2 linked regions of the Oreochromis niloticus genome follow. The protein of the gene in region 1 interacts with the protein of each later gene in a pairwise test. Links are inferred from orthologs where the notes say so. Each region holds a gene or a part of one and is shown on either strand. Other genes may lie near its edges.

Evidence for each region.
Region 2: the proteins of N-chimaerin (region 1) and hemk1 interact in binary tests that used the Homo sapiens proteins (3 or more experiments, as listed by UniProt). The two-hybrid records come from large-scale screens. The link is inferred for Oreochromis niloticus from reciprocal best matches to the Homo sapiens genes CHN1 and HEMK1.

What each region holds. Positions count from the first base shown.
Region 1 is NC_031986.2:15,944,400-15,960,545, reverse strand, and holds the start of N-chimaerin, read right to left. Parts: upstream 8,498-16,146; 5' UTR 8,240-8,497; intron 8,230-8,239; exon of another isoform or gene 8,038-8,229; intron 7,901-8,037; 5' UTR 7,828-7,900; coding exon 7,809-7,827; intron 3,638-7,808; coding exon 3,599-3,637; intron 3,482-3,598; coding exon 3,426-3,481; intron 1-3,425. Other genes in the region: uncharacterized protein LOC109196774, read left to right, coding at 9,348-9,439, 9,525-9,807, 9,899-10,546. UniProt on the Homo sapiens protein: GTPase-activating protein for p21-rac and a phorbol ester receptor. Involved in the assembly of neuronal locomotor circuits as a direct effector of EPHA4 in axon guidance.
Region 2 is NC_031970.2:17,679,303-17,695,122, reverse strand, and holds the start of hemk1 (MTRF1L release factor glutamine methyltransferase), read right to left. Parts: upstream 8,832-15,820; 5' UTR 8,626-8,831; coding exon 8,560-8,625; intron 8,384-8,559; exon of another isoform or gene 8,197-8,383; intron 7,142-8,196; coding exon 6,968-7,141; intron 6,882-6,967; coding exon 6,790-6,881; intron 6,709-6,789; coding exon 6,615-6,708; intron 6,515-6,614; coding exon 6,377-6,514; intron 2,546-6,376; coding exon 2,481-2,545; intron 2,330-2,480; coding exon 2,280-2,329; intron 2,190-2,279; coding exon 2,084-2,189; intron 1,271-2,083; coding exon 1,175-1,270; intron 889-1,174; coding exon 778-888; intron 630-777; coding exon 557-629; 3' UTR 1-556. Other genes in the region: GATOR1 complex protein NPRL2, read left to right, coding at 9,574-9,669, 9,915-10,006, 10,116-10,284, 10,371-10,479, 13,158-13,294, 13,606-13,703, 14,839-14,875, 15,325-15,418 and 2 more. UniProt on the Homo sapiens protein: N5-glutamine methyltransferase responsible for the methylation of the glutamine residue in the universally conserved GGQ motif of the mitochondrial translation release factors MTRF1, MTRF1L, MRPL58/ICT1 and MTRFR.

The sequences.
Region 1 (16,146 bases):
TAGTTTGTCCACCAGAGGGCACTCTACAACTTACTGACATTTTTGGAACACCACAAACACAAAAACTAGCTGATGTGAACAGAGTCAGGCAAAAATAAATAAAAAATAAATAACAAATGTTAGGGAAATATGTTTGTTGTGTGTGCCTGAAAGGAAACTTTAAAAAAAAAAATTCAGCCAAAATATCAGACTTTTCACTAAATATTGGTGTCGGTGTCAGTATCAGTCTTAAAAACCATTTATTGGTCGGCTCTACTTCGAGCTGGGCTAAGGCTCCCCTCTGTTAAAACTCTTCATGCAAATCTCACCAGAACATTTTGAGTAATTCTGCTAATAGGCAAACTGAACCAAGGTAGTAATGATGTCACTAACTGTAGCTAAAGGTATGTATTTGCAAATTGTATGTAGACCACTCTGTGAGCAAAGGTTCAGGCTTCAGACTTTGCTATACACTTTTCTCTTGGATATCTGTGTGGTATCACTAAAAAGAGGATAGGACTAATATGGTCAGCACAGGCACACATATTTGCCTGTGAGCACAGAAGTCACACCCACCAACCTTCTGTTTAAAAGGGGCAACCAATCAGAACAAAGCTGGCCCAAAGGGAGAAGGAAGGGTCCTAAAACAGCTCATTTCAGAAAAATGTTAATTGAGGGTCACCAAGGCCCAATTTAAGATTCCAACAATAAAAATATGGAGATGGAAATTACCACAATAGATAACCTTTAAGAAAGAAAAGCTTAAATATTACAGCAGAATTATACTTTATGGTCACAATATGACATTTCTCTTCACAATTTATGTGGTCAAATCACCTTATAATATTTTTAATTTATGGCAAAAATAATTACCTTCCTCACACTCAGAATATGAGTGTAGGGGACTGACAATACAATAATACAAGAGCAAAAAACCAAGAGTAACTATGTTTCATGGAAAAGAAGTGATAAAAGATCAGCAAGACCAAACATCATCGTCATCATCATCTGAAATAACTGCTAACTCAACCCTTCAGTTAATATCAAGAGGAAACCAGCTTTAACATGAAATCAATACTGAATGTTAAAAATATCAGTTATTGCACAGATGAGTACATTTTAAACTATTATGTGAACCAACTTTCTAGAAAGTCTGAATTCGCTGAACCATGCCAGAAAATTTTAAACCGTGATCACAGATTTATTGAAAATCTTTGAACTGTTCAGCCTATCCACATATTACATTTCTGATACTATATTTCAGAAACATGTGACTAGTAAATGTTTGTGATTATTATATGACCTTTTTCCTCCAGAGAGGAGCAAAGTCAAATCAATAAACCCACAAATTTTTTCAACACCAAGTCACTTGAATGCACTGCAGGCTGTGTTTGTTTTTTTAATGTTGTGTAATTTGATTGTTTGATTGCACTACTTTAAAAAATGTTATTGCCATAGCAGTAACACAGCGTAACCTCCGGTCCTCCAGCTAAAGGACACACACACTCTCGTCTCCTTTGCACCACTCTTATGCGCCACAAATTGTACCAAAAGTACCAGCAGAAGATAAGTGCTTATTGGTGCATCATTAAATCACTCCCAGGAGACAAAGTGGGGCTGCTGGTGGCGGGGGGGGGGGGTTCTGCTTGCTGCCAGTCTGCTTGCTTCAACTAGGTCAGCAGTGACTACCAAACCAAGGCCAGGGCATCAAAGACAACAGCTGCTCATTTTGCATACACACACACACACAAACAGCCTACCATCCTCCCATCATACCCTAAGATGACTGTCTTTACACACAAAAACCAGATGTACAACCCCCCAATCCATCTTTATTAATCCCCCTTGGATTTCTCCAAGCCATACTGAGCAGATGTGCTGCTGCGTGGCATTTAGTGGACATCAGCATCATGCCAAACCACCTGCGTGCCCTGGGCTAGGACAAAACCTCTTCTCAATAAACTACTCCACCACTAACTAAGACATAAACACTTCAGTTTGCTGTAATAATTAAATAAAGCTGTTACAAGTGAATTCGTTTGTGGGAATAACTGGATATTTCCTTACTACTTTAACAAATGAAGCACCAAGCCTGCATTTTCAGAGGATGAGGATCAGCTGGAACATGACGCTAAGAGGTTTTTTCACGTCCTTTGTGTAGCTCTGGATTAGTGTAGCGTGTGACCTTTAGCACAACATCATTTCTGATCTCTCCCATCTATCCTGTTATGCCTGTTCCTCTGCTAACGAAGCAGAACAGCTTTGAGTACAGCAGGGACAGAGTGTGAAAAATCCTGTTAGATTGCCTTAATAATACCAAAGCTAAACATAATAAGGGCATGATATAGTGCCGGCTAACATCTTTAGATTAAAGACAGCTTGACAAATGTCGCCCCTGAAAACAACGGAGAGGTGAAGTGCGGCAGAAAAAACAATCAGCCTTGGTACAAGCCGAGTCAGCAGTCTCATCGAGGAGACAAACATGCTTACTCCAGACTTGATCTACACCAATAAGGTTTCTGTTGTTGGTTATTATCACACTCAACTGTCATGAAAAACCAAGAACAGAAACTATGCTGATGCTAGAGATTCAGGGTAAAGGGGTCTCAAACTTATAGCTGAAGTCCTTTGCACGATTTCAGTAGATTTCACTTGAAAAATCCATTATGGCACATGCCCATACTCTCTAAAACTTTTAACAGAACAGAGGATTCTTACCAAATCATGGAAAGAAGCAGTTTTCTGAAGTAAGAGCAAGTACAACAAGTACACATGTAGACTTCATCACCCGCTTCACATGCTATATACATGCAGAACCACTAGATGTCGCGTTGGAGCTCAGCTGCTTCCAGTGGACTGCAGCCCAGCTCATTGCTAAATTCCCCCCCAGGTGTCCTAAGAGCCAAAGGCTGGGCCCATAATTAAGTCCATGTAGTATGTCATTTATCGGAAGCCTGTTTTAGTTAAGTGCTATCCCATCAGCTGCATGAAGAACACCACTACAACTAGAGCAACCTATATCCAACACTCACATTGTAGCATACACTGACTTTGACTAGATTGACTAGATTTTCTGCTGCTATATTAACATTCAAAATCTCACTTGCATAAACTTTAACTTTTAAAGAAGCAAAGGTTTATCCAGATAAAGGGATTGAGAAACATCACCACAAAATACTGCAAGTGAAAAATGCAATAAAATTGACAACTTTGGTCCAAGTGTGACAGTCTTGTTGAGCTGACCGTGGAAAACATGTTAGAGAAGAGAAACTATTTTTGCATTTGAAGACTAGTTCAATGAGGATAAGAACTTGAGCAAAGCCTCGTGTCTATCTAGTAGATCTATTAATGTTTTTTCACTGCAACATCACACAGATAAAAAGCGGATTTCAAAATATGAGACGTGCTAGAATGTGCTGGCTGATAATTAGGACATGTGCTCTCACCTCAGAGGTGCAGGTGACTCTGCGTGGGTGAGGTGCCTCCTGCTGGAGCTGATACACTGTGACAGAAAACAGGCCATGTTATAAAATCATGAAACAATCATTGAAAACAAAGAGGACAAAATATTTAGGAATGTTTGAAAAAAACAAAAAACAAAAGGTATATTGATACTTACAGTAGGATTTCCACACTGGTGGCCTGTATTCATCATGATCTGAGGACACAGAAAGCTCTCATTTAATTCCTTTGAAGCAGCACCCCCATGTGGAGAAAACATGACAGTGACGCAACAGCTGTCTAAATTTTAATTTTAATCCATTAAACATACGACTGCATCAGAATGCGGATATATTGATCAATTCATCATCTCTTTGACATTAGACCAGCATAAAGAAAGGGGAAGCCTAACGTACAGACAAAAATAAAATGTTTTACAATCACATCAGGGAAGAGCATTACGATTTTAGGGCACTCACATGAATTTCAAAGCTAAGCCTTGAAACTGCTGAAGCAAACAAGCCAAACAAACACAGAAATCTACACTCCAACACTGACAGCATGACTGCTTTATTTTCTAGTCTGTATGCAATTACCTTGGGACATCAGATTGATGGATTAAGTCTTTTTCCACAGCAGAAACCACACAGAGCATAAATGGTGACTAAGTGGCTTAATGAATAAATCTACTCCGTGGAGCATAAAATGCTGTGAAAGATTCATTTATGCCGTGGTTGCTTTTAAATGAGCTGTGCAGTGTTTATCTTTGTTACACTCACACTAGCTTTTACTGTCAGCCCCCCTCCCTTCCTCAGGCCGACCCGTGTGAAATTAATTGTAAATGGATATCAACATTGTGGCAGCGTTCCCCTGTAGTTTTATTCGGTTGTAACAGACCATAAACAACACTGACAGTAGTATTAGCGAATGTGATTAAAACCGAAACACTTTTGGCCCCAGGCGCTGGTTTGGAGTCTGGGTGAACTCTTGAGGAGCTGCTGAGCATTTCTACTCAAAGACACCCATTGTGGCGCCTGTAAAATCCCAAGGTACACATTTAAATTCTGCACTTTACATCTATTGCATGTGTTGTTGCTGCAATGACCTCAATTCCCAACAGAAATGAGATTTAACACTTCCACTTGTACTGGGACAAAGTGAGTCTTGTTACATAAGCATGACAAAGGCGTCATCAGTCACTACGACATGCTGTTTGTTTGTTCCTTTAAGTGCCGTAAAGCAGCGGTCCCCAACCCCCGGGCCTCGGACCGGTACCGGTCCGTGAGTCGTTTGGTACCGGGCCGCGAGAGTTGAGGCTCAGGTGTGAAATGTATGGTTTTCAGGGTTTTTATCGGTTTTCAACGTTATTTTGTTATCGTTTTTATCGTTAACTCGGTTTTCCTGGGTCTTTTCACGTGTGTTATGAATAAATCTTCTTTTTTTCGGTACCGGCACTAGTTTTATTTTGTTGTATTCATCCGCGACACCTCATTGCCGGTCCGTGAAAATATTGTCGGGCATAAACCGGTCCGTGGCGCAAAAAAGGTTGGGGACCGCTGCCGTAAAGCATAAAACAGGTTTTTAGAGAAGAATCAGTCACGTAGTCGCAATGAATGATGTCTTGCTTTTTGATACTTCATTATACTGCAGTTTCTATTTGCTTTGTTTATATCTTATTCTGCTCTGAGTTTGGCATTTTGTGCGTATTCACAGCACTGAGCAAAAGTTTTGAGTTACTCCTCATCTTTTCATCTGGTTCTCCAGGATTTCTGAAGCTTTTTCAAAGTTTTCCTTTGGACACTGGCTGCTTCTTCACTCATTTTCAGTCCTGTCCTTGTGTCTGGCTTGAGTTAGCCTATAAAAACATCCTCACATACACCAAGGCGAACAAAGAGATGCAGGAAGAAGAAAATCTTACGAACCTACACTTTCTACAAATAAATATTTTATAAGGTTATTTACAGTAGCAGAATGCCTATATGCATACATGTAAATGTAACTATACATTTACACACAAGCACAAAAACATACAGACAACTCAAAAGCAAGACAAACAAAATAAGCATAGTAATTTTCAACTGAGCTACTGGCCATTGTATACAAATCATTAAAGATACAGCTCATCTGACTCATGCTGTGAAATGTGAGATGTGATTTATAAATTGTCATTTTCACAGTGCTATCTAAATCTTGCTTTTGATGATTCCATAGTTAGTAATGCTTAACTTAGTTAGCTTTGTTTCAAAGCACTCAGAGAAAAGTAGTTTTCTCATTTGCTCAGCAAAACTGTCTTATATCAAAGAACTTCTGCAGTATAGCAGGTAATATTCCACATACTGCTTTGAACAGTCAATCAGATTTTATGTACAAAAAGAGTGGAAACAAACATATAAAAAATATAGTATGTGAAAATAATTAAGAAATCCTACACTGAACATCTGAAAAACTAAATTAAAATACTTAAAGTGGACCCCTATTTTGTGTCACATATATACAGTTACAGCTGCTACAGAGTTTAAATTATGAGGTCAGTATGTGCACAGTAATCCCTGTGAGCCAAAGACTCAGGCTTTGGACTGCTCTGAACACAGTGTTTGAGTTTTTCGGCTGATGTGTGATGTCAGCGAGAGGAGATACCTGCTGTTTTTGAACAAAGCCAATCAGCAGAAAGTGGAGAGTTTTAGATAGCTGTTCAGGGCCTGTGTGAAGGCAAATTATAAGATAAATAAAGCTTATTTTAAACAGTAGACCATGCAAAGCTACTTTAGTGAATCCAAGACCAGAAATATAAAACTGGAAATCAGCACAAAAGGTCCTCTTTAACCCAGGTCTCGAAAATATATTTTTGTCAGCATCTGGCAAATTCAGAAATGTATTCCGTCTTCTTTGCATGGGTAAAACTAACAGTCCGCTTCCTGTCCTTGTGTACAGAGGCCACTCTACAAGCCTTATCTATTCAACACTTGTCGTCTCGGTATCCTGTCTTCAAAATAACTCCAAATCCTCCCCGGGCAATCGTCTCACCCTCCATTTCTTGAGGCAACACAGGCTCAAAGATACACAAACTAACAAGAACCCAGACAAAACACACAGACTGTTCACACTCCCAGCATCTGCAACAACAAATGGGTACTTTTCCTTTTTCATTACACACGTATGAAACACTTGGCCCTTTGCTACACTCAGAAAATAAGGGTTACAGTAAATTGTCTCATATATTTACATTAAAAAAGCAAACTTTAAAATACAATGGGTTGCTAAAGATTAAAGGCTTATGACCTCTTAACAAAGTCACATTTCAAATACGGGGCTGTTAGCAGAGTGTGTGATGTCCTGAAAGGAACGAAAAATAAAATAAAATAAAGTGAAACCACTGATGGCTATGATATTATATATCATATCATTAAAATACTATCAATATGTAGAGCTAGCTACAACACTGAGAGCTTGGCTGTTTATTACAGCTAACAGGGGCACATCAGCAATAATGATAAAATATATATATATATATTGCAGTTATAAATATATATATAAAACCACTGAACAATGACTTTTACTTTTGAAGGAAATTTTACTTATAATGGGAATACATATCTACACTGATGCATTGCTATTTTGCTAAGTACAGGATCTGTATTAACAAACCATTGTTCTTACAGGTGCAGCAGGTGGCGACCCATTGCGCTTTTCTTCTTGTGTCCTGTCCTTTTATTATATCTTCTCCTATTTTCTCCCCCTTTCTTTTTTTTTTGCTGCCTGTCAGATTTGACATATTTATATTGCATATATTCTGTGAGTCATAATAAAAATGAATAAATAAAAAGAAAAAAAGAAAACGAGAAAGACGAACATGAGAAGCCTATAGAGAATTTACAGAGCTTGTCTTGGAAAAGCAAAATATATTTTGCACAACAATGCATTCAGATCATACTTTTGATTGCAAAAGCTGGTAGACAGTACAGCTTGTTAAAAAAAAGTAAACAAACAAACAAACAAAAAAACCATAATTAAAAACAAAGTGTCCTGGAGTCCATGAGAGACGCTATAAAGAATTATAACTACAAACTGAGCCACTTTTGGCTATGATATCATTAATATACTATCTATATTTAGAGCTAGCCTTCACATCTAGACTGTTTATTACCGGTACCAGGAGCACATCAGCAATAATGCAATACTAGTTTTCCTTATTTAAAGGATCTGGATTTTTCTTCATTAAATCATGTCTACTATTTGAAACTTCTGTGAATACGACGACTGGCCTCTTTTCATTTTTAAACAACAGTTTTAAACAATAGATTGGAAGTTAATCATAAACAAATTAACACACCACTCATAAATCCATAAGACATTCCGGTGACAATCGTGTACTGTGAGATGCTGCTTACCAAAGACATTTAGAGCCATCTTGATTCTAAGATAATAATGATGATGAACAATTAGGCAGCAGATCCAAATTTCCACCCTCTCAGTTTAAATCCTGAAAGAGAAGAGGACACAAGCGGAACAAGGTGAGAGAGTGCAGCCGCAGCTGGAGGTGAGCTACCAGGGTCAGAGTAAAACCAGCTGAGTAATCAGCCACAATAACTGATAACCACGATATATAAGAAAGCTAACGTTAGCGGATTCACTTTAGTTGGTAGGCTGTCCTGGAGGATAGGGCGGCGCTGGTGGACCCTTTTCTTTTAAAGTTACACTGTGAAGAAAAAGCATTTGCTTCGTAGTAAAATAAAAGTGCAACAAATACGGCTCCCAACAATGTGAGAACATGCGCTGGTTTTAGTAGCCTAAAGGTTAGCCAATAAGACGTGGTACTCACATCCCCATTCTACATTATAGACGCCATCTTGCTGGGTCACGTGATCAGTCTCACCCTCTCTCCCTCTCGCTTTCTCTCTCTCTGTGGCTCTCTCGCTCTCTCGTAACTATGGTAACAGACCTTGCTGATGCTGCTTCGTAGCAAAGAAAGACGTGAGGCTGAGGTTTTCTTTTCGCCTCGTAGAATTAGTATTTGCTTTTATCGGTTGTCGTGGAATGCGACAAGTGCAAAAGGTGAAAGAGAAAACCGACCACAAGAATGTCGGTGAGCTTGTTCAACCAGTTTATACAGCTTTCGTGAGCAGTACATATAGTACAAGTATAAAAACATTTGTTCTGCCCGTCAGTGTCGTGGCCGGTTAGCTCAGTTGGTTAGAGCGTGGTGCTAATAACGCCAAGGTCGCGGGTTCGATCCCCGTACGGGCCAGTTCAGTCTTTTTGTTTTTGTTTTTCGAAAAAACCCATTTGATTTTACAGTTTTTTTCTGAATGCTTAAACCCTAACTGTGATTCTTATAGCACAATTTCTAAAACTATTAATACTTATAGCAAAACCACTCACTGAGTTTGCAAAACTAAAAGCACAAACACTGCTTTGCACTCAGTTTGCCATTTTGTAACACACACTTTGCAAAACTGTAGGCACAATTCACTGCACAACACTCTTTTTGCAGAACTGTAAACACAACTCACTGCTTACACTCAATTACCAAATTTCCAACACACTCCTAGCAAAATTATACACATGTATGGCTATCATTAACACTATTTTGCCAACTGTCTGGCACACTTTCACATGTGAAAACTGTTTTAGATAATTAGTCCACTTTGCAATCAGCCTAAGCACTATAAACAGGTAAGCTGTCTATGTGGAGTACAATGGAAGGAGCAGCAAGAGTGAGAAGAGTGAAAATCAGAGGAGGCTGAGGGAGAGGACGTGGAGGTGAAGAAGTTGGAGGAAGAGGACGTGGAGGTGAAGAAGTTGGAGGAAGAGGACGTGGAGGAGCAAGAAGAGGACGAGGAGGGGAAAGAGGAAGGGTAAGAAGAGTAAGAAACAGAATAACTGATGACATCAGAGCTACAATAGTGGACCATGTCATCAACCATGGGATGACCCTGAGGGAAGCTGGCCAACGGGTTCAGCCTAAACTGAGCCGCTACACTGTGGCAGGCATCATTAGGACATTTCGAAATGAGAATCGGTAAGTACTTTGTAGCACTGCCATACTCTAATGAGAAACACAACAGTACCATACATGCAAAAATACTGAAATTGTTACTTTACAGAATTGCTAGACGTCCAGATGTTGGGGGCAGAGGAAGCATGTTCACTCCAGAGCAAGAGACCCATATAGTGAACATGGTGATTGCCAATAATGCAATAAGACTGCGCGAAATACAGCAGCGCATAATTGATAATGACACCATCTTTCAAAATATACACAGTGCAAGCATTTCTGCACTAAGTCGTGTACTTGCGCGCCACAGAATAAGAATGAAGCAAATTTACAGAGTTCCTTTCGAGAGAAACACAGAACGTGTAAAGCAACTGCGATATGACTATGTGCAGGTAAGCTAGTGTCATTGGTTCTGAATTTGGAAGTGCATACTGTAGTGCTGTGCATGGGCCTGATGTGTTGCATTTGTTTTGTCTTGTCCAGAGAGTGATGGAACTAGAAGCAGATGCAATGGGACATGAGCTACTTTTTGTGGATGAGGCCGGTTTTAACCTCAGTAAAACCAGGAGACGTGGCAGGAACATTATTGGACACCGTGCCATCATCAATGTCCCAGGACAACGTGGTGGTAACATAACCATGTGTGCAGCTATAAGCCAAAATGGTGTTGTTCACCATCATGCAACCATAGGCCCATACAACACTGCACACATTATTGCATTCCTGGACACCTTGCATGACATGCTCACTGTTCAGAGACCAGAGCAGACCCGATATGTCATCATATGGGACAATGTTAGTTTCCATAGGGCTGCTTTGGTCCGCAACTGGTTTACAGACCACCCATCCTTCATGGCACTCAACCTCCCTCCATACTCTCCATTCTTAAATCCCATTGAGGAGTTCTTCTCTGCCTGGCGCTGGAAAGTGTACGACCGTCATCCTCATCAACAGGTAGCCCTTTTACAGGCAATGGAGGAGGCATGTGGAGATATTGACCAGGCATCATGTCAGGCCTGGATACGGCATTCAAGGAGATATTTTCCCCGGTGCCTTGGACTGGAGGATATGGCATGCGATGTGGACGAAATTTTGTGGCCGGACCCAGAAAGACGACATGATGTAGGCTGATTGTCTTTTTTTTTTTTCCTTTTTTTTGTGAAATTCCTATTTTGTGTTCTGACTTTGTCTTGGTTTTGATGAGTGTGAATAAACACCAATACTTGAAGTTTGGATCCTTGTATGTTTACATGACACTATGACAAAAGTGTGACCTCAAATTGACATCTGTACTCAGAGAATGCAAAAGCCAGATGTGTTTTGTATTCATACCATCAGTGTGCAGTTGGCGCATTGTGTGCTTAGTAGATGATGGCTTGTGTGTACTGTTTGATACGAAAACACCATTTTTACGAAGGTGTGAAGAGTTAATCTAGCTGTGTTCGCTTTTGCAAGAGAACTACAATGTTTTGATAATTGGGTGACAGGTTTTCTTATTTGTGTGTAGAGTTTTGCAAAAATAGCCAATAGTTACAAAAAATGTGCTTAAGCAATCAGAAAAAACTGTAATTATAACAAATAATTTTTTTCAACCTAATAAAAAAAGGACAAGGAACGTAAACCATCACTATTATGTGAAATGGTAGAAAAAACTCAAAAATTTCGACATTAAGTTGTAAAAAATTCTCAGATTAAAGTGAAAAATTGATACGAAGTTGTCCATTGTGCTGTAGTCCTTACTAGTAGTGGTGTAATTCTGTAATTTCCTCTTTTTATTAAAAATTTTGTACTTTGATCTTGAAGATTTTACCCTTTTCTCATAAATTTGCCACTTTAATGTGTGTGTGTTTTTTTCTTTCCCCCTCCTATTTATTTCCTACCTTCGTTGGCGCTAATATGCCGTTGTATAAACACAAAATACTTAATTACAAGGAATAATTATCTAAAAAAAAATATAATAATAAAGTAAATAAATAATAAGTAATATTAGTAACACTTTCAGGTAAACATCCAAACGTGTTAGCAGCAAAACATAAGAATAAAAATGTAATCACAAACATGCATGTATAAGGGCTACATTACTTTATCTTTATAATGCACTGTAATTTTGTATTATCATCAATATTGATACTAAATTCAAACGTTTTAATCTAAGCAACGTTTACTTTACTCCTATTATATCTATAAAATAGCCATTATTGTTCATAATTCTGATATAGTCTGCTTTCTGGGGCATTATACCTGAATAATTTGAATCTCTACTAAGTTAAATAGGCTGTAAAGTGCTCATTGTGAGAAACAAACCAATGGCCAACACCCTCCTCAGGCCGTGCGATGGCGCTGCTGAGCCGCCCAAGTTGCACTTTCTTTCCCTGACACCACCACCACCAGTGCCGGGGCGCACGGAGCGCTGGAGGCGGTGTGTGTTGCTCTTTATTGTTCCAGTAGAAAGCTCAGTGCGCGGCTTCCCACATTTGTCTGAATGGCTGCCGCGGACAAACCACGTCCCACCTGAGAGGGAGCGGTTCAGCTGCGAGCAAGAGGACCACCGCGTTCAAAACTTACAGCGTGGATTTTACCATCTGCGTTGGACATAAAAAGCTCTCACGGACGCACATTCAGTGGATCCTGGAGGAAGAGGGGGGGGTAAGGAAACCGTGCCATCCGGATTGTGAAGCGAGCTTAAACGCAGTGTTTCTCGTATTCCTCGCACAGTAGGTGCAGATTCAGACAGCTTTACTGCATTATGTAGACCAGTTTCTAGGAATAGGAGTCGTGGCTTTTTTTTAAAATGCAACAGCGCGTTAAGCGCGATGAGTCCGATATCTTAAGTCTAAGCTCGCTTCGATTGCAGCCACCAGTCTGTTCGTTTTCCTAATCGGCTGAGCTTTAGGAGGTCCAGCAGAGCTTCTGTTACTGTAAGCTTAAAGATAGACAAGGATATGCTCCTGTGATTACTGCTACATAAACTTCAAGATTATTATAGTTTTGACACTTTAATCTTGAATATTTTCCACTTTATTAGTAATTCCAGTATTTTGTATTAATAATGCCACACACACATGCACACACCAGCTCAGTCCCTGGACTGTGAGCAGGTTGCCTTGGCCTACTGACATCTTTGCCCTGGGCTAAAGGATTACTCTGCTAACCCACATTGTAGGGCTCTCTCTTTGCCAACTGTACTCTGTGCTGTTGTGTGTGTGCGCCTAACAAAGCTGCTCCTTGATCTTTGGTGTTCTCAGAGACACCCCCCCCCCCCCTTTCACAGTGTGCACCTTTGAGGTGTCACAATCAGCTGGCAAACAAATCCCCTCCCTTTATTGATTTCTGAGAGACACATACTCTTCTTGGATCCCCTCCGTCTTTCAGCGTGAGGTCACAGGGTCAGCACCCATGATCAACAATGGTTGGGTGCTCAGGTGGAAATGCTGCCTATTTGGTTTTGCGATCAGTATGACATGGTTTTGATTGCCACGTGGTGTTGATGTTGCACTCCATTTCTTGCCCACACACACCCACACACTACAAGCTCCCCTGAGGGCAGTAGAGCAGCTTAATGGCTCAGCAGGTGGATGGTGTCACCTTGGTGGAGTCAAGCCCAGCCACTGATCTGTCAAGGAGCGCAGGTGTAGCGGGCTCGCTGTGACATAGCCTTGATCTCACCCTTGCCAATGCTTGTCGGCTTGGGTGTCATTTTTCACTCGACTCATGTAGAATACACAGAGTGAAAATGTACACAACAAACAACACTGTCAGGTAATGGGTCCCCTTTAGTGTTCATTGGCTGAGTGCATGTTTGATTGTATTCAATTGGTGTGGAGCCTTTTGTATTAGTTTTATTGTGTGAGTTTTGGGGGTTGGGGGTGGGGTGGGTGTAAATATATGGGACATAATCTGGAAGCAAGATCCACTTGCTTAGCTGTTTCCACACCTTCCCACCATATGTCGCTACTCAGGATGCCCTCACCAGAGCACACAGGGATTTTTTTCTGCACAAAGCAATGCTCGGTATGCACCCTCTGACTGACCTACTGACTGATAGTTGCGTGCATGTGTAGTCACCAAAAGATGGACATAGCAACATAACATCAGGCACTGCTTTTTAAGCCTCAACAATGTTCCCAATGCTAGTTATTTGGAGCTTTTTGGAACTGAATTAACAGCTAGCTCTAAATAGCTTTGTTATCAAGATGCATCTGTAGATTTTAAGGGCATGTAATACAGACACGATATCTGTTAAGCATCAGATCTAACCAACACTGATGCGCAGACTTCATGAACTGGCGGTAACACACAAAAAGCCATGTCATTTGTCAAATATTTGTCAGTCATTAAAAAAAAAGAGCTCCAGACATGATGGAGAAGTATCAGTGATCAGTGACTCCAGTTTGGTTTCATGGGCACCTGTCACTCTTAACTCTAGTATCCTAGATGGATAACTCATTTTTAACAATATCACCCTTACAGTTTTTGTGAAAGATTTATGTTGCTTGTAATTCTGTAAATTCGATCATTTTAACATTGAAGTTGGAGGTTATTACTTCACCTCTTCTGATCCAAGTAAACCCCTGGTACAGTGGTATGAGAACAGCTAAGTAGGACATAATTCAAAAATATTCACCACTAGAGCTTTAGTCTCAAGTACTTGGAAAGAAGGCAAATAGAGTTCTTTTGGTATGTGAACATGTTTTCATGTTCACATACCAAAGTAAAGAAGCCTCTTGAAAGAAAGACGCTTCTTTAGTTCTATAACAACCTATGGAGAGTCCCTGGTATGTAACCCCTAGTTTTCACATCAAATGGTTCTTTTACTCTGATTCAAATCAGTTGATGAGTTTGCAAACTTGTAGTTTTTCCCTGTGATTTGACTTCTTTTTACACAGAGAAAAATCCAAGTGAACTAAAATGCATCCCTACAAACCAGATGAGAATGTTATTGGCCAGATGTGTCCAGAGAGGGGAGCAACAAAAGTAAATGCAGGAAAAGGGTCCTGTGTTGTGGCCTATTGGAGAACCTGTAGAATTTAAGTTTTCATTTGACTGCTAGTTGCTAGCCTATACATACCTTTGCACTTCTATAGTACCTTACTGCATCCCAGAATGCAAAGCATACGTGGCTATGGGAAATTTTTCTGTAGCTCAAACTTACAACGTATACCTGGTATTTAATTCTGATTGCGGTCTGATCACATTCACACCATAAATGAACCGCTTTGGAATGGGTTACAGTCTAAATAAGAATTTTGGAGATTTTAGCTATGTTCCAATAACCTTGGAAGTTGGAAGTCTAGAATGACTTCACTCCCTAGCTAGTGTGTTCCAATAGTAAAGTCAGAAAAGCAAGAAAATCAGGATTTGTTTTTGTTTTTAGCATTGTAGAGCCATTCATGTATGACTAGCGATACAGCATATTTGTTTGTTGTAACTTAAAAACACAGCTGTGGCACACGCACGGATAGAGCCTACTCAGTGCTTTGCATATGGCTTGTTTAGCGAGTCATGAATATACAACGGTGGCAGTCCAGATTAAAAATTTTACAGTTTTACTGCTTGTACATTAACTGCTGCCATCTTGTATTGTTCATTCTTGATTGTTGGGGTTGCTTTGACTTTCTGAGTAGGAAATTCAAGTTAAGGGGGCATTCCAGATTAAACTGGGAACTCAGAAATTTTGACTTCCGACTTGATCTGGGACTCAGCATTAGTCCCACCCTACCATCATGTCTGCTATTCAGGTCATATGATTCAAGGTTAGAGTGGGGCTAAATCACCTGTGAAAGGGATCCCAGGACTGCACTGTAGCAGGCTGAATGCTGGTGAGGTGGTGTGCTGCAGACAGTGCTGGCAGTGGGGTTAGAGCCATTTTGCGGCATGTTTGTTAGTGAACAAACTATATGACGACACAAAATTACCCCTAGTAGTTTTTTCCACATCATAAAAAAAAGAGTTCATATCAGCAGGGCTTGGCAAAGTCCTTCTATGAGCAAGTCTGGTACGTGGGCATCTTATTAACGCCTCTGGGCCATTATTTTGGCGGTTACTTTGAAGCACTATCTAAATGAGCTTTCATTTAAGTTACCACAGAACATCAAAACTACTTGTGTAGTTTTGTTTGCTGACATTATCCCCCAACTAAGGTTTTAAAAATCCTTTTTTATGGATCTTTGAGGGCCATATCGCTCTCTTGCTATCTCTGGTATTGGACATATGTGTTATATGCCACTAGCAGGATATCTGTAATATCCTGATATATCTGTGATAGGATAAAGTAACTGAGGCGAGAGATTATGTGCTATTTAATCTTTTAAATTTGTGTGGGCAGTACTTACATTAATATTTTCAGGTTTGGGACTGTTTGTCAAACAAAGACATTTAACGATTTCCACAGACATCTCAAGGAATGTGTAACAGTTTTTTTTCCGGCATATTCTAAATTTTTATAAATGACATTATGATAAAATGATTGTGTTATGACTATGCTGATCCAACCTTATGAGGTGAGGCAAGTGGGTCCTTGACAAAAACACAATTTTTCTGACTATTTGTAAATGTTTGTATTATTCAGAGTTTTTCTGAGAATATTACCCCAGCTCTACCGTGTTACTTTCTCTCTACAGTGGCCTTGACACAGTGCTGTTTAATTACGGAAACTGATGGAAATATGACTGCAAAGTTCCCTTCATTAGCCTAGCAGTGCAGCTGTGAAACCCATTATGTCACACAGTATG
Region 2 (15,820 bases), on another chromosome or scaffold:
CCCCGCATGACGACTGCTCTTGTGACACTTGTTAGGAAATATTTTCCCTTAAATCACCTTTGAAACACAAAGACTTAGTGGCCTTTAAACTCTAAGTATGTGAGAGAAGCAGATTGTGTGAGGAAGTAAAGGCCATGCTGCGTGAGCTTTTGCTCAACAATGCACGCCGCTTGCATCTGAGTCAGCGAGCGGACAAGCTGAGGGGAGGACCGTTCGTCAGCGGATTCACAGAACTACTGAATGCTTCCTGGGAGGAGGGTGAGCTTCTGAGAGGGAGGGTTCCGAGAAAAGCTTCGGTAATTACCTTCAGCTTTGGAGCCTGCGTTTTTTTTTTGTGCCATCTTGCACACATTTTTTATTGTGACGCAGGATGTGATCACGACTGTTACTAGATTAAAAGTGCAGCGGTGACAAGAAAACAATGCGCGCTTGTGCAAATTATGAATGCTGGGTGTTATCAGATCAGTGTGAGCGCGTGCTTGGTGGTTCAGTGGGGGTAGGGGAGCTGAGGCAGCGGCGACCTGAGCTAAAGAGCTAAAGCCAGTGTAATAGGATCTCAATTTCTCAGTCCAGAGCCTGCTTGTGGTCCTTGTTTGACTTCTTCCTTCTGAAGGATGCAGAATCGAGGCCTAGGAAACACAAAAAACGAGCCGGCGTCACCGATGCTGAAACCCCAGACACCTGAATCAAATCACAGCGATGGCCCTAAAGTGGGCTCATGCAGAGTGATTTCATATGAAAACTGATATTGATGTAAAGCAGTTTTATAGAACAGACCTGCCGGTGATGTCATGCCGTGCCTCCTTAAACTGCAGCCTGTCCACGTTCCCCTCCACCCACTGTCGAATGAGTGGGGGGTGTCTGGGGTCCACCTCCAAGTAAGCATGACTGTTTCTCACCAGGAAATAAAACAAAAAACCCACAGAAATGTAGCAAAAATTACTCATCAAAAGGACTCGATTTTGAAAAGAAACCCTGAGATGACAGCAGGACATGCCTGGAAGTGCACTGCATTCACTGGAAGTCTTTTAGAAAGCTTAACACATTAAAGAGGCAACACGATACATGTGTTTTTCAGAACATGCTGTTCTTGTGACAAGCCGCTTTTGCCTTTAGAAATTGAACACAGGTGTGTCCATCTGTGTGTGAGAGTTGGCTTTTTTTTGGTTTTTACCCATAACTGGACAGAATCTGAGGAGCCAGGGTCAAAATCTGCTTGATCACTTTTAGGCCGTCTTTGCCTCCGTCTAAAGCAGCCGGGTCTTCAAATCTGGGGAGCAGCACACAGCAAAAGCACACACTATAAAATAGATCATACCATGTCACATATTTTAAAATGTTTTCTAATGGAATCTGATAAGCTTATTTATCAGATTTACATTTTATCAGTGTAAAGGTTTTCCCTAAAGGGTCTTACAAAAACAACAAAACCAAAACTGGCCTACGTATTTAATTCTTTTTTTTTTTTTTAGTATTTACAATTTCTTTATTTCACTGAAATGCATAATTACAATAAAAAGCAAAATAACATGCAAATTACAGCTAAAAGTAAAGAATGAGTGCACATTTCCTTCACTATGATCATTTCTTCTAATTTAAAGATCCCAACATTGATTAAATGGTCACCTACTCATAAATAACAAATATTAAACAGTATGTTAATATTGTTATATTGGTTTTACTGTATTTATTAAACAGCTTTAACAAATACAATGTTTAACAAATTGTAGCAATTGTACAATTTTTTACAAATTTAACTATATTTGTAAGCAACCCGAAACAGTAAATTCTGCTTGGTTTTATATTCCCAGACATTATCTTTCATAAATCTTTTATAGTTTCATATATTTCCACCTTCTCCTATAAACCCAACAGATGAATGCTTAACGACATTGTAATTATTCACAATTGTTGTTGTCAATTATTTTAACAATGCAACCTTAATAGCTTACTCTAAAGATTTGCACATTCTGCATTTAATAACAACTTCTGTGAATCCAACTGAATAAAGCTTTTTTTAATGTTAAACATAGACAGGTTAAATATATATAAAATGAGAATGGCTGATTGCATTTTTAGTCACCTTAAAATTTCAGGTTCAAGGGACGCCATGTCTTCTGAAAACAGGTACGGAGGGTTACTGACCAAAGTTGTAACTGGCCTAATGAGTCTGAGTAGAGTTTCTGCATCTGATAAAAACAAACAAACAAAAAAATCTTTTTATCAGCAGAGGGATTAGCTTTGTTATTTAGAAAAAAACATGCAAAACTTTCACTGACCCTTCATGACATCGATGTGATGAATCTCTAATCTATCCTCAAGTCCCAATCTGCAGACGAAAATCCTTTTTCAGATTTTATGAAATCTTTATAATAACGTAATGTAATCTTTATAATAACGTAATGTAATCTTTATAATAAAAATAAATCAGTGCTAAAGGACATTTACAACATAGTTTTCATGGGTTATGCTGCAATTACCTTAGTGCGTTCTCTCTTGTTAAATCCACGGCATCCTGGCTCTGATCCAGGGCGACGCCTTTAAGCTGGAAAACAAAACACAAGAGCTAACTTTACGCAGACGTTTTCTCTGTTTTCCTGTATTTGTATGCACGGGAAAATTTGGACATTTTTACTACTTTACAATCTGCTAACAGAGGAGAGTCTAAAATATGCAAACACAGTATAACTGGAGTGCATGTTTGATCAGCTGAGGTGAGAAGATGTACATGTGATGTGAGGATAGCAGCTTATCAACTGGAAATCTATAACTAATGATTTATCATATCGGTTATCCTATTGATTTTTTTTTTCACTGTTAATCGATGTGGCTCGGCTACAGGGGAGGGGGGAGCAGGGGCTTCAGGGTGTTGTGTCAGGGGAGGTTGACCCACACAGCTGTTCTCCATCACCGGGTCATGCCTTCCCTATTTCAGGAGGACCGGACGAGAGAGCGGTGTGTGCTGCGCAGAGCGACGCAGCTGGAAAGCTGCACCTTAACTCTGTAAATAAAAAAGACACTTAACAAACTGTAACGCTGTGGTTGTCCGGTCCTTCACTGTTATAATCTATTAATAGTAAATAAATAAATTCATTAAAAAATGAAACTTGACATACGGTCATCACAAGCCTCGAAAAAACACTCAATTAGCTCAGCCTAAAGAATCCACTGTCAAATATTCTTTAGAATAACTCAATGACACATAAAAAGCTGCAGCCTTTGTATCTATGCTCACTGTTAGGTTAAGGCAAGAGTAACAATCATCTATTTAGACTTAAGCTGACAATAGTAGTGAGCAACACTTTCCAATGGCTATGGATCGAAAAGCTCAAACAGCAGTTTGAGTGTATAATAAGGCCATGACATTCACCCCTGTCAGTACCTGACCGAGGTGAGCATGGTGTTCCATTCCTCCAGAGGAATTTATTCAACTTAGAGAATTAATGCCAGGATTGAAACTGTTCTCATAACACATGACTGCCCACCAACTTACATTGTTGTTTTTCATAATTTGTAATTTTTCTCGAACTGATGCATCATGTTCAGCATCTAAACAAGCTGACATTTGCTTGTTATATGGGATTAGTTTTGAAAATGCTTGGTGCTACAGGAAATGTCACAACTTCCTGAAGAGAACATGAACGTCTGTACACAACGTTACTGATTGCAAAGAGGATCCTGATCAAAATCACAGATGTTCAAAACACAACCTCATCTGACAGATGTTAATGAGGAACAAAAAAAATATGGGTCTTGAGATTTTGCAGACATGACCACTAACTGCCAGACATTCAGTTGTTAGCTTATTTGGACTGTCATGGTGACAGTGTAGGATCAAGCGAATAAGGCCCCGGTCACACAGGCTTAAAGACCTGTCAGTGACCATCTGGCAACCTCCGGGTCATGGAGGAATAATGAGTTTACCCTGACCGATTGCAAGTGGTTGCTGAAGGCTGATGGCAGTCGCTGGGAAAATAATTGTTAAAGCTGCAGCCACACATGCCTAAAGACCGGACTCTGACCCCCTGACAACCACCTGTTGCTAGGGAAAAACATGTATTCTCTGACTGGTTGTCACAAAACTCATTGTGATCGCTTTGTGTTACAGCATGTTGCTGTGATCATAGTTTGAATGGTAGTGACAGACCTGTCTATAAACTAGTGCGAATAATTCAATGCTTCATTTAACGCTTGGCTCTGAAGCATGTGTTAAACGATGTAAACGCAAGTGTTTCCCCCTCATTTGCGACTAAAAACAGTCCTACAATAGATATATTTCATCACAGCATCCCTAAAAATAACTATAATAATAGTAGTAATGATAATACATTTTAATATTATTTTCTGGCATTGTCTTCTAACGCTATATTTTGCTAACTCCTCTAAAACTGCCCAGCGTTGTTGGTGTCATGATGTCACAGTGCGCTCACACAGAGGCGTTACTGCCTCAGCAGGGCAGTTTGTCATTAAAGGACTAAATAAGTCTGTCGTTGCTGCAGCAGAAAGAAGATGGAGAGGCAATTTCATAACACAAATGAGTGATGCAGATTTAAAACACACTTTAACTGAAATATAGCAAAAGTGCAAACTGTTCTGATAATGCAGGGGCGATGTTGTGACTTAGAAAGTGTCCGCTTATTTTTATTTGTTCTCTAAATAGCGTCAAAAACGTTAGCTAATGTAGCCTAAATCACTCAAGATTATTAGCTAATTTTAGCTTTCTGAGCCATTAGTCTGCTGGTATATCGCTAGCTGCCAGCAAAAGGGGCTGATGTAGTTTATTATTTTAGTTTGTTATAGATGTCTATTCCTGTTCTGCGCTTCATTGTTTGTCTACACTACAGCTCCAGATCCAACTGAGAGCAAGTCAAAAGGAAGTCTATGTCCCGTAGCAGCCCGTATTCAGTCTGAATATTGTTATAAACATGGATCAGTTTATGCCTTTTATTGCTTTGCAAACTCTGTTTCACTGTTACATTCAACTTTTGGGTGACAGCACAAAGTCTCAGAGAGGAGCATTGAGAGGGAGAGAAAGGGAGAAAAAGAGAGAGAGAATAAATAAACAGGCAAGAGTGGACATGTATATTTTAAAGGGAGTGGAGCTTCTGTTTTGCCCATTTTCTTTGATGACGATTTTTCCTCCTACTGTCGAGGATGGTTCTTTCCGGGTACTCTGGTTTTCTCCCACAATATAAACACATGCAGTTAGTGGGGTTAGGTTAATTGGTGATTCTAAACTGCTCATAGGTGTGAATGTGAGTGGGAATGGTTAGTGTTGCCAGTGTTAGTCCTGTGACAGTCTGGCAACCTGTCCAGGGTGTATCCCACCTCTCGCCCTATGGCAGCTGGAATAGACTCCAGCCTCCCCGTGATCCTGACAAGGATAAGTAGGGGAAAATGGATGGATGCATGGATAATTTTACATTTGTGTGCTTTCCAGTAGCACACTTAGAAATGTCAGTGGACGTTCTAAAGAACATATTTATTGATATCAATAGTAGTGTTGGACAGGATTCACTATATTAATGTGACAAACTATAAATCTATTCTCCACTCTTGAATTTGCAATAAGTTTTACACAGTCAAAATCAGAAAGCCTCCAGAAGTTGTATTACAATATGCAGATGAACTGTTAACTTAGTCTGATACCAGACTGGTTCAATTATACAGCGTGCTGAAGGCTGACGGCATTTGATACCTGCAATAATATCACATACTTTGCTAATTAAATTGCAAAAATATTTAAAAAAAATAAAAATGAAAGCTTTTTTCACAAGCCAATAAAAATGCACACGGGCCATTAAACTCTGATCCACTGACCTGAGGGTTGTTAGGTGGAACACTGAATTATAATTAATATTAATTATTAAAATCGACACTATCATAACGTCTGGATTTAGCAGCACAAAAACTTGCCTCCTTTTAATGTCAGAAAGCTTTCCAAGAAAACAGAGTAAAGGTACATTTTTATGCCTTAGTCTAGACTTCATATATGTCTTATTTTATTTCATTTGAAAATATAATTTAAATTTTACGCCTGAAGGGCAACAACGGCAATCTCTAAAGCAACCACAGCAATAACTTGGCGCTTCCATGCAACCAATTTCACCCAGTGAGGGTAGAAATCTCCAGGAAGAACTGAGAACCAGTTGGGGGAATACACATTTTTCCCTAGCAACCAGTGGTTATATCACAACCAATGAGAAACCTCAATACACTGCATAAATTTCACTGGAGTAATGAAAAATTTGACTCATTGTCAGTGTATTAAGACCCAAAGTGAGGGGGAATTCATTAATAAGTTAAACAGCCTTTTTCCTGTGGTGTGCCTTATTGGAATTCCACTCATCTGAAAACTTATAACACAAATTTCTACCTGAGGCAGTGTCTTCAGCAGGCTAAGAGAAATGGCACCAGACCCACATCCCACTTCCAGGCACGTAGGCTCCATCTTATCAGGCACGCCCATCTCAGTCTTCATCTGCAGATCATTGAGCACCAGCTCGACCAACTCCTGCATCAGCAAAGACGAAATAAAAATCACATTTTGGCTTATGTGTGATCATTCGCTGGGTCTTCACTGTGAACATGCGCTGCCTCGACTTTTCTTCTACCTCCGTTTCAGGTCGTGGTATGAACACAGGAGGCCTCATCTTCAGCGTCAGGTCCCTGAAGTCCCACTCTTCAATCACGTACTGCACGGGCATCCTAACCCACACATGAAACCATGTAAAAATTTTCATTGAAAATCATTTAAATGCATATAGAGAGATCTATGCACAAACTCACCTGGAGAGACGTCTGGTGCAGAGCTTCCATATCTGCTCTGTTTGTTCTCGGCTGAGAAACTCTGTTAATCTCTCCTGCTCAAGACTTTCTATCTGGATAAAGAAACGCTATGTGAACTTGATCCACGTTTACTGCATGTCAGTGCAAGTGCTGAGGCAATGTAGATTCAGCAAATTACAGTTTTAGCTCCGAGAAGATGAGCAATGATGTACTGGCTGGACAGCTCAGGCTCCGTCACAGCTCTCTCCTCAAAGTGCCTCTTCCATAAGTTCACCGCCTGAAGTGGTGTAATCCTGCCTGCGGGTAAGGCTGGAGCGCTGCATGTACGGACAGCATGGGACCTCCAAAGTACCTAAAAGCATTACACTTAGGATTTATTTTTATAGCGAGCATTATTGCCTTTATTTTGATAGTGAAGCAGTGAGGAGTAGAAAGGAAAGAAGGGAGAAAGGACGAGGGAAGGCACGCAGTAAAGGGCTGAGGGTTGAACTCAAACCCAGGCTGCTGAGTTCCGAACCATATGGCACATGTTCACCAGCTCAACCAGGGAGCCAAACTGGCACCCGTTACATTAAAGTTTAAATAAAATTTCCAAGTATCCAGAAACCAACTGCGTTTTTTTAACACTGATGTTAGACTCCCATTCAGCATCTCCTCTGGGGAATTTCCGGCAACTTTGGAAATCATCATGATTTATTTACACCACTCACAATTACTCATAACATGTGTCTGACTGACAAGTCATAATTAATTTTCACTTCCTCCCTATAACCGCGGGGTTAATAGGGAATCTGTAAGTCAAGTTAACTTACATTACTACATCTCCACACAGTTTAATGTAATCCAGTAAGAGAGAACTGTTATTATTAGTTACTGTATGTATATGGACAATAATCCTTTTATTTATTTATTTGAGTTATTTAAGCTTATATAGTATTTATTTAGTATAGGGTATAAGATATGTGTCATGATAGATAGATAGATAGATAGATAGATAGATACTTTACTGATCATCACTTTACTGATCCTGCAGGGGAAATTACTATGTGATAGCAGGAGCATAAAGAACTATAACCTACAATAAAATTGCTTGAAAGTACCACAGGCTCATAATAAAGGCCTTATAATGTGAAGTAGTGCAAAATTTTATATGCAACAGTGATTTAAAAAAAAATGAAGCAAAAGAAAGACAAATAAATACAAAATAAGGCTGGGATTGTGCAAACAATAAATTATACTAGCATATAATAGTGCAAACGGCTTCAATAAATAGCAAGTACAATTTCAAATCCAGCAGACAGCAAGCAGCAGGAAGGTTTGATACTGATAAGTCTGAGGAATGCAGACAGGTGTGTTCACCTGTCAACAAGCAGGAGAGCTTTTGTAAAGCTTTATCGAGAACAGCAGGAATGTTTTCCTGAAGTTTCCTAAAGGCTTGAGTCAGTCTGAGCTCTGCTGCCTCTGTAATGTGTGTGCCTGCCACTTTATTTTATTAAAAAGAAGATAACAGAAAACAGATTTGGTCCAGTTGCGTCAATGGAAATCAACTGATAAACAGTTCAAGAAAGTCATGTAACTTGGTCTGTGCTTACAGGTGCGTCAGTTTGTAATGTGAGTAATATTTCCAGTTAGCAAGGCAACGGAAACAGGTTTGGACTGTTGGTTGGTTTTTAAAGCCGTGACACTGACATGCTTTTGTTTGTTCAACACGTTGGACGCAACGTGTCGACTTCCGGGAAAAAAAGTCAAAAAAATAACTTGACCAGTTACCTTTGGTCCACCACTCCTGCACCCAAAACATCTGTAGTAGCTTGTACTCAGCGACCTTGTCCACATGGTTAACAGTATTAAGTCTTTACATCGTTATTCATTGGGTTTCCGGAGTCTGTGCGCTCTCGGGCTGAACTCGCTGCATGGCGGCAGTAGTCGGTTAGATCAACATGCTACACTTTACGGCCCTGTATGAAATTCAAACATTTTTCTGTGTCGGAAAGCTAACTAGCGGGGCTCGAAATGTGTCCTGCACGCGGCACAGAGAGCGGCTGCGGCGCAGTCTGCGCAGCGCTGACGCTACTGAACGACGTTGCTTTCACGGACTGTAAAACATATAAAGCATTGCCGTCATAGACGTTAAGTCTGTAAAGTAAGATGGTAAAATAGCATCTATAAATGTAAAAGTCATTAGCAAGTAATAAAAGTAGTATTACATTTGGTAAATACTACTATTCGAAACCTTTAAATTGTCTAAAAGAGAAAATTTCCTTAGTGTTGTGCAATTGTTCGGGGCCCAATACTTTAAAGCGTTTTTATACGACAACAGAGTTCGTGTTACTTTTATATTAATTTTAAAACATTATTGGTGCTACATACATACGACTTCCTCTGTCTTATTGTTGCCTTTACAGTTTTTGCAACGGCAGTTTTTATTCCAGGGCTAAGTTACTGGGTGTCCCTGAACGCGATATTATTGTTGTTCTTCCCTGTCTGGTTTTTGCATGCATTGATGTGTCGAGTTATTGAATAGTTTGATGCCTGGGTGACCATAACCTCTGCTTAATACATTAATAACAGATTTTATAGGGCGTCTTTTAACTTTAGACCTGCTTTTAAGTACCGAAGGACGTCGCTAGCTTGTTTTTAAACGTTAAAGCTACATGCTAGCTCATGCTGCTGTAAATAAACTGGGAAGACCCAGAGGAAACACACAGGAGATACCTTGTTAACGCAATTTGGGGCAAGTTGATAGGGCTCAGCAGGGTTTACACACCTCTGGATTAGTTCTCCATGAGGATAAAATCTATGATGGGCATGCCCACTCGAATAGAGTGTATATTTTTCAGTGAGTTTCACCCTACTCTGGGACCCAAGATAACATATCAGGTAAGTGTGCAGATGGTCTGGTAAAGTAGTTTTATTTTATTTTATTTTTTTTATATATCCACTGTCGTTATGATTGTCTTTATAACTGCCCCAGTTGCGAGCTTGTTCGTGCCCTGGGTGTGTTTTAAACGTGTGAGGCAGGTATTTAATCCTTCATAGTAATTTGGCATTGACGTGTACTCTGCATAATCCGTCTGAGCTCATGTATCTTATTGGGTATAGTTTGTCATACTGTGTCCTAACAGGTTCCAGAAGAGTACATCTCACGGGAGCTCTTTGACACCGTTCAGGTTTATATCATCACCAAGCCAGAGCTACAAAACAAATTAATAACAGTGTATGTAGTCTTATCCTGCTCGTCTGTCTCCCTGCCTTGTTTGAAGTCCTTAGTATTTAAATAATAGTGTATTAACTTAATAAACCAATCTCTCTTTTTTTAATCATAGCACTGCAATGGGAAAAAAGTTAATTGGCTGCCCCGTGTGCATCGAACATAAGAAATATAGCCGAAATGCCCTCCTGTTTAACCTCGGCCTTGTTTGCGATGCCCAGACCAATACTTGCGGCCTGGAGCCTATTGTTAAGAAGCTATCTGGGTACCTTACAACTCTGGAGGTAAAGAGTATCATATTTTCACATGTTCATGTGATCGCTTTCTTCAGGATGATTTCTTAGAGATTTTCTGTCTTGTTGTGTTGCAGCTGGAGAGCGGCTTTATATCCAATGAGGAGAGCAAACAGAAGCTTTTACCCATTATGTCGACTTTGTTAGAGGATCTTAATGCCACAGGAGCCTGCAGCCTACCCATTGGTATTATTTGGCATCTTACTGGCTATAAGTTTTATCTGTGGCAAGGAGCAGTATATCTTTTTAATATATAGCTGTGGTCACACGTTTACACACATTCATCATGGGCATGAATGTCATGGTAATTTTGGACTGTTTCGTTGAACTGTTCTTTTTTCCGGGGTGGAATTATTTTAAATCTTTAATGACTTAAAAAAAACAAGAATTAGAATTTATTTTGGATTTTCTCTAATCCACACAGGGTCAGAAGTATACATACAGACTCAAATATACACATTCACTTAAATCTTTTAATAAGTGGTGCTGAAGTTTCTACAATGTCTTTTAACTCTCCGAGACTAACTTCTTGTTAGTGATCATGATTTACACGTTTTACATGATTTTCCTGGTACTTTCTCTTTTCCAGCATAAAAACGCTTGTTTGACATCACCCATTAGATTGGCTAATACTCAGAACAATGGGTATAGGAAGGGAAATTATAGATTTCCCTTCCACAAGTTTGACTGCAGATTCCAAGATAATCTGTTTAAACAACTACATGTAAGTACAATGTATTCTGATGTGTCAACACTCTGCTGAAGTCTGGAAGATTGTCAACATCACATGAGAGGAAATTGGTTAGGATTTTCAGGAACAGCCCAGGAACCACCAAGGCTCAAAGCAGCCATAAATAGGTGCCGACCAAGAAAGAAACCCCTGCTCCATAGTTGACAGCTGCCCACACAGATAAGCCAAATGCCTTCTGGAGAAAGGTTTTATCGACAGATGAGACCAAGACTGAGCTACAGTACTGTAAAAAAGTACTTGCTCCCTTCCTGATTTGTCACATTTACATGTTTTAGATCATAAAATAAATTTTAATTGTAGACAAAGACTAAAGACCTGAGTAAATACAAAATGTACACAGCGTTTATAACTGAATCCTGTACAGTCTGTGGGTTTCAGGCTGTGGAGGTCCAAAGTTCAAATGTGCTTCGACCTCCTACCGTCTACTTTTATAGCTAGATTAACGCAAATATGATGTTGTGTAATTAAAAATCAGTACATACAGACGCTGCAGAGACTTAAAGCTGTTATCCGGGTAAAGTTGATTACTCCATCAAATATGTCTTGATGCATGCTCAATCATCCAGGTAAGTAAATCCCAAAAGGTTGATTCTGTTCATCTGGATGTAGCGTTTTCAATGGAAGAAATGTTTCGTCATTCATCCAAGTGACTTCTTCAGTCTCAGCTGACCGCAGGTCTTTGATCAATGGGCTTTGATCAGTGGTTGTTGATCAATGGGCAATTTGCATATTAATGATCAAGGAACTGACCTCAAGCCCATTGTTCATTCAGTGGGCTGGTTTCAGTTATTGTGCAAATGTACTGTTTATAAGGTTGGGGAAACCTGCAGTCAGCTGAGACTGAAGAAGTCACTTAGATGAGTGACGAAACGTTTTTCCCATTAAAAACGCTACATCCAGATGAACAGAATCAACCTTTTGGTACTCCATCAAATACATATTAATATTAGACAATAACTAGAGTAAATACAACATGCATTTTTTAAGTACATTAAGGATGCCTGCTGTATGTCCATTCCACCCTAGAAAAAGAAAAGCTCAGAGAAATCTTTAAAAGCCCAAAACTGTAATAATGTCCATGTACTTAGTAATACTGTGGCATGTGCTCTGTTACTGTGCTGCAGATCATACTGAAAGGATCATAAACTATAGAGCTGCAGCTGCTCTACTAGACAAATCATGTCATTACAGCATTTCTAAATGAACTCAAGCATCTAGAATAGAATAGGATAGAATAGAATAGCCCATTATGTTCATTATACATGTACAACTAAATTGTGAGTCATCCACACCAACTGTGCCGGAATAGAATAGAAATAGTAAGACAGTAGGAATAAATAACAAGCAGGAGAAATATATACAGGACAAGATAAAAGCTGATGAGGCTTACTCAGGCCATGGCTCAGATTGGTTGGTTGGTTGGTGGGTGGGAGGGCAGGGGTGGGGTTGTGTTTGTCAACAGTCCGAATGACCCAGGGGAAGAAACTGTTTGTCTGGAGGTGGGGGACCTGATTTACTGGAGGTTCCGACCAGAGGGCAGCGGGTCAAACAGGGGTGGCGGGACACAAAGGGTCACCTGTGATGGCCCTTGTTTTCCTGAGACAAGAGGATCTCCAGGAGTGGCAGAGAGCAGCCACTTATTTTGGGGGCAGTATTAATTACCTTCTGCATAGCCTTCCTGGTTTTAGTAGTTGCCCCTGCGTGGCAGACATCCAGGCAGTAGGACAGCACACACTTTCCACTGAGGAGAGCTTTGTTATGCATTATGTTCCCTAACAACAAGTTTTCCAATATCTCTGATAAGCCCTTATCAGCCAACCAACATGCTGCCTGGGCTATGGTCCAAAGTGAAATTATGTGGTTGTTTGGATTGATTAGTTAATGTAAGTCAAGACAAAGCAGTGCCACTATGCAAGCAGCTTTGCTCTGACTGTTACTCTTTTTAGAAATTCAGAGATGGGAAATGCAGGCTGATGTTTCTGAGTCAAATTTTATTTTAAGAATTTACCAGCTGCACATAGGCAGTATTCACATGTTGGTTGGCAGCAACAGATGTCATCAAACGATTTTTTTTTAAACCGCTCTTACTCTTGTTTGTTGTATCCTTTTTAAGATGAGTCTAACACCATTCATCTAAAGCTGATCCAGCTGCGAAAAGACCCCCCAATAGTTCAGGAGTACGACGTGCCAGTCTTTACCCAGTGCAAAGATCATTTTATCAAGTCTCAGTGGGATCTCACCACTCAACAGGTAGGCTTTCAATGTCAACAACCTCTGGCTGCAGCTCTTGAGAGGTATTTGATAGCACTCTAAGAAGTGCTTGGAAGAAAGATCAGTGTTTAAACACTTGTTATCAGCTGTGCTGGAAGTGATATAAGCACGTTTTTATATCCTTTGTTTTATGATTTGAAAGAAGGCATTAGTGCAAGACAAGATGCTCTTTATTGGTACAATACTGTTTTATTGCTTTTATAAGTTAACATGTTTACAGCATTTAGTTAACCAGTAATGCAAATAGCACTACGTGCCTCTAACCCTTATCTATTTGCTGCTAACTGCAGATTCTTCCCTACATCGATGGATTTAGACACATCCAGAAAATTTCTGCTGAAGCAGACGTTGAGCTGAATCTTGTTCGTATCGCAGTGCAGAATCTCCTGTAAGTATTTTTCAGCAAATACAGTTGTACTCTTCAGTAACCTCACACACGTACTGCTTCATCACAGAACTCTGTTTTATGTCGTTGTTTTGATTAACTGATAAACCAAGTGTGAACACCTCTGTAAATGCAGAAGTTTTAATAGTTTCCTGCTCTGGACCATTCAGGTGGGTGCTAACACAATCCCACAATCTTCCCAGGACCTCTTGTAGGTTAACATCCCAGCAGATTCACTTCAAGGTCAGGCCGTACAGTACTCAGAGAAACCTTAAACACACACACACACACACACACACACACACACACACACACACACACACACACACACACAAGAGCTCAGTTGGCATGTTAAAGTTCGTGACAGCACAATTAGAAAAAGACTGAAGAAGTATGGCTTGTTTGGAAGGACTGCCAGGAGGTAGCTTCTTCTCTGTAAAAAGAACATGGCGGCACAGTGTAGGTTTGCAAAGTTGGATCTGAACAAACCACAAGACTTCTGAAACAATGTCCTTTAGAAAGATGAGACCAAAAGTGTTGACATTTAACCAGAATGCACAGCGCTGTTTGGCAAAAACCAAACACGGCATATCAGCACAAACACCTCACACCAGCTGTCAAGCACAGTGGTAGAGGGGTGATGTTTTGGACTTTGCAGCCACAGAATCTGGTGACCTTGCAGTCATTGAGTCAACCATGAACTCCTGTGTATCCCAAAATATTCCAGACTCAAATGTGAGGCCATCTGTCCCAAAGCTACTGTAAAGCTTGGCCAAAACTGGGTTATCTGACAGGACAATGATCCAAAGCACAGCAGCAAATCTGCAACAGAATGACTGAAAAATAAAAGAATCAGGATGTTGCAATCACCAGTCAAAGTCCAAACCTGATTGAAGTGCTGTTGTGGGACCTTCAGAGAGCTGTGCATAAATAAATGCCCACAAACCTCAGTGAATGGAAACATTATAACACAATGACGCGAGAGACTGATAAAGTCATAGAGGCAACGATAAGCTGAAGTTATTGCAGCTAAAGGTGGTTTTTCAAGCTACCGAATGAGGGGGTGTACTTGCATTTTCACTCTGTAGTCAAAATACACTTCAAAAAGATGTAATTACTTCTCTTTTTAACTTCACAGGTACTATGGTGTTGTGACTCTGGTGTCAATTTTCCAGGTATTAAACTAATCTCACATCACATCACACATATATGAGTGTAGTGGAACAGTTTATCAGGGACCATTAGGGCCGTCTGCGGGATGTTAGTTTTAATTGAAAAGTTGTAATTTTTTTTCATATTATTCCTTCTTTATTCTGGAAATGTTTTTTTTTTTTTTCTGTTTTTGTGAAAGTGGATCTTTTTGTGCAGAAATAATAACCGTAAAGCAAGCATCAGTTCTGAAGGCCATTCTGATAAATGGGTTCATGTATTTCAAAAGAAAGTCAATTTATATACTGCACATTGCTCTCTATGCGCCACTTTGAATACAAAATGTTAGGGCAGGTTTTTTAAGTGAGGGAAGGCTCTAGTTTTCTGATATTCTGCTGTGAAAAAATTAAAGTTATTTAAAAGTGGCTAATACTTCCTGATGACTTGTTCTGGTTGCCTTCTTGTCTTTCTCTAGTACTCTAATGTGTACTGCACCACCCCAAAAGTCCAGAGCCTCATAGATGACAAGTCCATTCAGGAGGAGTGCCTTAACTACGTCACTAAGCAGGGTTAGTTGGGGTCATGTCCATTAAAACACAAGTGTTAATCTTCATTTATTTTGTGACGTTAACTGTGCAGCTTTGCCCTGTCACTGTCAGGTCAGAAACGCGCGAGTCTAAGAGATGTGTTCCAGCTGTATTGTGGGCTAAGTCCGGGAACAACAGTGCGAGACCTTTGCTCACGCTACTCACAGCAGCTTCAAAGGGTCGACGAGAGGTTAGCGTCGCTCAAATTATCAGTTCCTGAAAAGACTTAGCGCTCCTATGAATTCAGGTCAGAGTGGCACTGGCTCATACTGTATGTGTGTCACGTCACTTGTTTCTCCTCAGGAGGCTGATCCAGTTTGGACTAATGAAGTGTCTTATTCGACGGCTGCAGAAGTATCCCGTGAAGGTGATCCGCGATGAGAG